Caenorhabditis elegans: one gene and its partner. The protein of the gene in region 1 interacts with the protein of each later gene in a pairwise test. Each region holds a gene or a part of one and is shown on either strand. Other genes may lie near its edges.

Region 1 (3,543 bases):
AATCACAATCTTCGTTGGTGGGGCTTCCAACTCTATTTGGATAGGGCTCTTTTGCACAAAGAGCTCCGCTAAGGAATGCTTCTGGGATGATGATAGCGGGTCAGCCGACCAGTTTCAAAACTTTAAGAGCGGTAAGAATTAAAAATTAAAAATATTTTATACAAAATAAGGATCTTTCAGGGTTCCCATTGGTGGAGAAAGGAAGATGTGTATACAGTAGCCAAGTGGCTTTCGATAGGGGACAGTGGTCCAGTGGAGATTGTGAAAAAGAGTCAAGGGCGTTTGTATGTGAGCTTCCGGTAACGAATGAAGGTAAAGGGAATTCTTAAAATTTTGAATTTCTAATTTCGCGCCAAATCATCATAAAAATTTATAAACTTTCAGACCAATGCCAAAAGAACTACAACGGCTATTGCTACTTCGATTTCGCGCCACTTCCATTTGTATCCGCACAGAAGATCTGCAAAGAGAACTGTGGAATCATTGCTTCAATCCTTTCACCCATGGAGAACAGATACATCAATGCAAACTTCTACACTTATTCTGCACTCTTGATAGGTGCCACTTGGAGCTATAACAGCTCTTACACCTGGTTTGACGGATCGTCATGGAGTTATCACAATATAGACCATACAGCTCGACGAGGTGGGGTTTGTCTTGCCATGTCTACCGGAACTGGTAGTATGGTCCCCACCGGTTCCTGGTACCCAGTTGATTGTAAAGCAAGTAATAGCTTCCTGTGCAAGCGGCCTGCAGGAACATCCTGTCCTTGGGTGGAACCGGAGACCCCGCCAACTCCTGTTATTCCATCAATGTGCAATAGCTCTATGATCATGGCACCTGGGACCATCTCCTCACCGGCATACCCTGGCTACTACGACAATAACATGTACTGTAGCTATCTACTATCTACAACAGGAGCCTATAACATCCTTCTGAAGTTCACCGATTTCTCTACGAATCTGAATTTGGATTATGTGACGGTGTACGATGGGGAGACGACTAGCAGTCCGATGCTTGGATCGTTCAGCGGATTCAACGAAACTCCGATCAATCTAGTGTCGACTGGGAACACGATGCTGGTGACATTCCGATCGGGAAATTCTGAGGATTCAAATATTCGCTATGGGTTTAGTGCCACTTTTTCGAAATTTGTTCAAATGCTCTAAATAAAATATTAAAGTACAGCCTATTATTTTCACCATATGTTTGTTTGTCGGGAAGGCAGGCAATAGGGGATAAGATATCTTACAAATCTACGCTATTCAACCATCAATGTGTTTAGAAGGGTCATAAAATTATTATGACCATAAAAATTATAATATGTACAATCAATATTCCGGTGTACGGAAAAGACATGAAGTTGGCCTATAAACCAAGTTGGTCCATGTACCAAGTAGGCCTATGTATCAAGTTGGTCTATGTACCAAGTTGGCCTATGTACCAAGTTGGTCTATGTACCAAGTTGGCCTATGTACCAAGTTGTCTCTCTCATCTCCAGACCCTTCCCTATCGACCTTCCAGCCAGTCTTCTCCGCCCAATTACCCACGTTATTCCGGCCTAAATAGACAGTTTCATTTGAGTAACAGTTGTCGTACAGGATTCGCAATTTTTCTCAATGTTTTAATATTTTCTCGACCAATCTTGCCATTTTCATTTTTGGCATTTTTGGTAATGTTACAAAATTAACTAATGCGCCATGTTGATCCAACATTTTAAATTAAAAATTTATGTCAAAATATAGAAAATTACTTGGTAAAATCTGAAAAAAAAACATTCATTTAATTTGGCACGTTCAAAAAAGTGCTCAAAACTGGCCTGAAAGTTGGCGACTGTCAAGAAAGCCAAGTTTGATAATTCGATAAATTTTCAATTTTCCGGGCTCATTTTTTAAAAACTTTTTTTTCAAATATTTCAACTAAAATCAATGTTATTTTCCATATAAATCAAATAATTTTCTATACTTTGACATCAAAATTTAATTTTAAAAAAAATGAAACAACATGGTGCAATTGCTAATTTTTTTAAACTGCCGTTTACAAAGTTGCTTTTTTTTTGCTATTTTTCTTAACAAAAGCAATTTTCCAGTCTCCTTCACAACAAAAAAAATGTCCGAAGAGCTCGAGTATCTCAAAGTACTATTGTATGCTTCTCAAGTCGAGGCTCAGAAGCTTCGCAAGCAAAAAGAAGAGAAGGATGCTTTGCTAAAGACGTTCCAAGTGAAGCTGGAAGTCGAAGCGCTCGGTAACTTGCCAGCCCAGCGCAATCTTTCGGAAGACATTTCTAAGCGTGAAATTCAGAGTTTGAAGAAGCAAGTTACAGTTTTAAAAGAAGAAATTGGACTGGAAGGGAGCAAACTGGCAATCGCGAATGCAGTTCAAGAGCAGTTAAAAACCGATTTGGCAGATGAGAAGGAAAAATGTCGTTTTACAAGAGAAGTCACGAAGCTCTATCAAATGAACATCCAGCTCGACCAACCATCTCGGGATCAAGTCGCGGATTATCTTCAATTCGAAATTCGAACTGTCAAGGAAGTTTTGAGACAAAAGGAAGAAGAACTGGAAAAACTGATGGCTGAAAACAAATATAATTATTTTGAAAATTGTGCTGAAAAGTGCCGAATTCAAGAAGAAACGAGTGCTGCAAGAAGAGAAGCTGATCTACTTCGCGATGAAATGAAGACGCTTGTGAAGAATATGAACGCCAAGAGCGAAGAATTGCTCGGACAATTGCGAGACTCTACTGAAAAATGTGAAGAGATGGAGATTGATTGTAACATCCAACTGTTGGAGCTTCAGAAAAGACATGAATTATTGAATTACTACGCATCGCTCGGATAATTAATTTTATGGAAATAATTGTTATTTGCCGTTTAATCAATAAGCCATTAATAAAATTATTCTAATGATCTGATCTAATTGATAAATAAAGGCACGTCACTCATTGAGCGGAGTATGAAAACTACGGGAAAACTAAATTGAATTGAATTTTATTGAACTTTATTTCAATTTTATACAATTGAATTATGAAGTTAAATAAAATGGTGAAACGAGAACTACATCGTTAATATAAAAAAGCCAGAGTCTTAAGTCTTTATTCCGAATAAAATCTGCGCAAAAAGCAAGCTTCAGAGCTTTTGGTATCCATGCGACTAGTCGGACTTTTTGCGAAAATTCTGTCATCTTGTTTTGAACGGCTTGCCAGAAATATTCAAAAAAATATCCTGCTCTTTCAAAGCTATGTTCCTTTTACTTTTCAGTTTTGATATACTTGGTCCCGTGGTCGAGGTTCGTAATTTGTGGAAGGTATCGATTTATTTTTGATTTTAGACTACAACCACCACTCCCATGGCTTGGAACTTTAAGACTGAATTTCCAGGAATATCGTCACAAATAAGCTGGTACAACGCAATGAAACTATACAATAATTATGCATTGGTAAGTTTTAAGTAAAGTTGCTTCCAAAAACTATCAAATTTCAGAAGCCAATTCTTTTTGCCGGCAATGATTCCACTGCGGACTATTCTGGAGAAACATGGAGAG
Region 2 (4,804 bases), on another chromosome or scaffold:
GATTGAGAATAGCTCAGTGGGAGTGCCCACACGTGGACACGGTTCTGAAAATTATATTTGTTTATGTTACGGTAGTGGGTCTTTTTAGGTATCGTATCCGCAAATGTTCCTCAATTTTTCACTAAAAACACATTTTAGCGCTATGAATTTGGTGAAAGTCTAGAAATAGACGATTACGAAAACTTGTGGTGTACGGTAGCTGAAAGGTTTCAATCGTGCCGAGACCAGGTACAGTATTTCCGCGCACATATTTCTCCATTTCCCCGTACTTTTGGTTTTTTTTTTCAAAAACCCGGAGTTTTAGCGCTATTAATTGCGAAAAGTTGAGCGAAATTGCAAAAGTACAGTGTATTTGTTTCCACTTCTACGACTTCAAAAGAGGGCGCATTCATTCAAAATGGTCTCGTCACGCGCCATTCATTGATTTTTGAAGCGCGTGGCGAGACCAATGGGTGGAGCGTGGCGGGACCATTTTGAATAAATGCGCCCTCCTTTAAAGTCGTAGAAGTGGAAAAAATAAACTGTAGAGGTAATTTTGAAACACATGCGGGTACTGTAGGCACAAAGTTCCGATTATAAAAATCGGGATTCATACCTCAAACACTGCCGATCGGAAATTCGAATTAGCCATCTTATACCAATTTTCTGCAGATTCCTCATTTTGTGTGGTGTAAGTAATTTCGTGTCGAGATCTGTAGCGGTTAACTGAGAACTCGTAATTCTAATACCTTATATTACCTCCGAGTTGTACTCAATCCTGGTCTCGAGACGCACATTGGGGGTTAGTCGGTTAGTTGAGAAGCCGCGAATGCTAGTAATTTGAATAAAAATAATGAATTTAAAATCGCCTCTCACAGTTCTGAATTCTTATCTTTTTCCAAATCTACACTTTTTTTAATAGAAAAATACAGTTTACGTAAAACTACATTCCATGTTGATTTTTCAAGCATTCATTTTAAATAAATTATATGTATTTTAAAAAAAAACACGTTAGAAATAGGCTACCGATAATACAAGAATTAAATTATAAACACTATGCACTCTCACAATCAGTTTATGCCCCTTTTGCACATTACTTCAACTTAAAAAAAAATAATTGCACACTTCCTCCAGGACACAGCATTTCAACTTGGAACAAGATTTCCCATTCGCGACAAATTTGTCCAATTTGCCATTTGTTAAGCTCGGAATACTCTAAAATTTGCCTTGAGTTTAGAAGAAAGAAATGAATGAAATAACACAAAATTTTGTGAGTATCTTTAAAAAAAATTTTTTTTCCAGAATGCTACACTTTTAAAGCTTTTTCGTCAATTTTGTGATCCAAAAAATAGTTTTAAAATATCGAGATTTTCCGGGTTCGCCGACCAGGGCAAATTTGTCAAATTTGCCGGTTTTGCCGGACTCTGCAAATTTTGAGATTTGCCGCACCCCCCCCCCCTCTTTCCCATGTTTCCTTTTTTTGCTCGTCCACTGGCACACAAGGCATAGGTACATGCATCTCTGACTTACCACTAATTTACGACTATCCATAAAAGTCCCAAGTCATATTTACTTTCGTTCTCCTTCCCTTTAAGAACTTTGCCGTCCAGGTTCATAGTCATTATATCATAAACTACTAATGATGGGTGGTGAGCCACACACAGTTCCCCATCACCACCGCCGCCGGTCTATCTTATCACTCTGACCTTTTTTGTCTCTTTCTCTAGGATCTCTCCGGGCTCTTTGTTACTTTCCTGCCTGTAACAAAGACAGACATTTGTGGTTAGAGTTGTCTGCTCTAGTCGACTGGAAAAAATGCTCCCTGAAACTACTACTCTTCAACCACTTCCATCTGTTACGACTATCATGAATGAGCCGCCAGCGAGAAGTCCAATGGAGGACTATTATTTATTTAATCAATTTCAATATAATCAAAAGTAAGTTTTGAAATCAAAACTGTTTTATTGCAGTGCATAAAAATGTTGCATAATGTAATTGTATTATTTTTACGGCAAACTTAAATTGAAATATTCACTATCAACAGAATTATATGGTTTTTACATTACTACCAAAATATTACTTTCCTGTAGTAATGTATACAAAAACAACAACTTTGTTCCAACATGTGACCAAAACTATGTTTTATTGAACTCATGTAGCATAACTGATAAAAATCAATATCGAATGCTCCAAAGTATACTGCTTATAATCAGTAGTTTTCAGTGTTTTTGAGAATAGGAATCTTTGAGAATTATTATATTTTTTAAGGTTTATTATTATAATTTGAGAGTCTGAAAAACGAGTTTCATGCTGGGAATGGCTTAAAGTGTATGACTTAACATGTTTCCTGTTTGGCAATTGTAGGTAATTTCCAACTTTCTCTCAAAGTTTAACAATTTCCTACAAAGCAGTTAAAAAATTCTGTCTACCTTTCGTAACTTTCTTTCAAATGTTAACACTTTTTGCAAAATTTTTGCAACTTTCTGTCAATCTTTGGACATTTTCTGACAACTTTTTGCAACTTTCTGCCAACTTTTGATAGCTTTCTTTTAAAGTTTAACAACTTTTTGCCAACTTTTGGCATCGTCCTGCCAAGCTCTGGCAACTTTTTGACAACATTTGGCAACTTTTTTCCAACTTTTGGCAACTTCTTGCAAAACTTTTGGCAACTTTCTGACAAATTTTAACAACTTTCCGCTTAACTTTTCCTGCCAAATTTTACCAACTGCTTACAAATCTTTTGCCTAGTCTCCTGCACCACAAATGTACTACAAACTCAGCTCAGCTTGAGAGAATAAAAACTCCAACTTTTCAGTCCATATGTCTACCCACCGCAGCCCGTGTACTACAATACTTGGCAAGATGCTTCAACTCATCACTTTGATCCATTCCAGAGTTATCAAATTCCATCTCCATACGAACAACCAATTCAGTCGTCAATGTGTACTACTCCATTACAACCACTTGAAGATTCCAGAATTATTTTTGATGAAAGCTTGACGAAAAATGAAAATGAGCAAAAATCCTTTGTGGAGCAAGATAGCAGTTACGAATCATCTGGAAACCGATTTGGTTCACAGAAGGGAAAGAAAATTGCAAAAGTAGGATTCGAGGGTTTAGAATGAAATAAATATTTCTATATGAAATTTTTCAGGTAATTCGTGATGCGTGCTGCTCACACTGCTCAACAACTACAACCACACTTTGGCGTAAAAATGATGAAGGGAATCTTGAGTGCAAGTAAGTTTATATTTTATTATATTCTTTTATATTATTTCTACCAGGTGTGCGCGGCAACCGATTGTTTTTCTGGCAAGTCGGCAAATCGGCAAACCGGCAATTTGTCGATTTTCCGAATTTGCCGAAAATTTTCGGCAATTTGTGGTTTTGCACATTTTTTTTGGAAATTTCCGAATTTCAATTTTAATCGGCAAAATTGTACGCATCCTATGAATGTTCCTACATCTATTCTGAAAAGTAAGCAAGTTCTGTGAAAATATCTAAAGAAAACGGAGAAAACATTTCAAAAATGCACAGTTTTAAATGTTTCCGTCTTATAAAAAATCCCTCTAAAAACAAAAATCATCAATTCAATTTCCGAAAAATCGGCAAATTGTCGGAAATGAAAATTTCCGGCAAAATGGCAAACCGGCAATTTATCGATTTGCCAAATTTGTTGACAAAAAAATTTGCCGAATGGCACTTGCCGCCTACCCCTGAATTTTTTCGAACATTTAGAACATTTACATTCCAAATCAAAAATTCTCAGTTGAACTTGCTTATAATTTTCGATTATTTTTTAGAATTTCGAATTTAAAATTTTATTAATTTTAATGACTAGTTAAATATACATCATTAGTTCCACTATTAAAGTAATATTTTCAGTGCTTGCAACTTGTATTACCGTCACAACAAAGTGAAACGCCCGTTATCCCTCTGCAAGCAGAAGCCAACTACTCGAAAGCGGCGTCAAGCAAAAAAAGAATAGACAAGTTTGGACTGTATCGCCATTTTTCCAGCATATTACGTATCCCTCTACATCAATTGTACCGTGTTCTATGCGCTGATTTGTATTCGTTTTTTAAAAAAGATTATATATCTATGTCATCTTTTCCACTGATATTACCATATTCAAACATTTGTAATGTCAACTTCATTATTATTTTTCTTAAATAAAACGTTAGAGATACTACTTATACAAATATTGTTACAAATAATAATGTTGAAAGATTCTATGATAAGATGAGAAATTGGTGATATGTGGGATATTAATACAAAAGTGGGCTTTAATGTAGAAATTGAAACGATGAGACCAGGGACAGATGAAACCATCAATTTCTATATTCTGCCAAGCAGCCTCTAATAAATGCCGAGTGTGCAGACTCCGCCCCTCTTTCGCGTTTTTTTGGCTCGCGAAAGAAGGTAACACTACGTTTGGCTTTACAGCGTCACGAAGTTGTCCCAAAGTTGTCACAAAGTTGTCACAAAGTTGTCACGAAGTTGTCACGAAGTTGTCACGAAGTTGTCACGAAGTTGTCACGAAGTTGCCACGAAGTTGTCACGAAGTTGTCACGAAGTTGTCACGAAGTTGGCACGATGTTGTCACGAAGTTGTCACGAAGTTGTCACGAAGTTGTCTCGAAGTTGTCACGAAGTTGTCACGAAGTTGCCACGAAGTTGTCACGAAGTTGTCACGTAATTGTCACGAAGTTGTCACGTAATTGTCACGAAGTTGTCGAACACCAAAGTGCAACTGCGGCGAGCTATGGAAAAGCAAACTCAGTTACAAAGACTTCCTGGAGAACCTAATATCTAAAAATGTCCAA

The links.
Region 2: the proteins of Y38E10A.3 (region 1) and elt-7 interact in a two-hybrid assay, tested with the Caenorhabditis elegans proteins (one large-scale study listed by BioGRID).

What each region holds. Positions count from the first base shown.
Region 1 is NC_003280.10:12,573,335-12,576,877, reverse strand, and holds Y38E10A.3 (Intraflagellar transport protein 81 homolog), read left to right. Parts: upstream 1-2,109; coding exon 2,110-2,841; downstream 2,842-3,543. Other genes in the region: clec-8 (C-type LECtin), read left to right, coding at 1-131, 181-312, 385-1,169; Y38E10A.2 (Cellulase), read left to right, coding at 3,349-3,438, 3,483-3,543.
Region 2 is NC_003283.11:4,768,920-4,773,723, forward strand, and holds elt-7 (Transcription factor elt-7), read left to right. Parts: upstream 1-1,750; 5' UTR 1,751-1,794; coding exon 1,795-1,916; intron 1,917-2,794; coding exon 2,795-3,080; intron 3,081-3,133; coding exon 3,134-3,219; intron 3,220-3,864; coding exon 3,865-3,967; 3' UTR 3,968-4,167; downstream 4,168-4,804. Other genes in the region: C18G1.9 (FERM domain-containing protein), read right to left, coding at 1-44, 596-692, 739-776. UniProt on the Caenorhabditis elegans protein: Transcriptional activator that binds to the consensus sequence 5'-[AT]GATA[AG]-3'.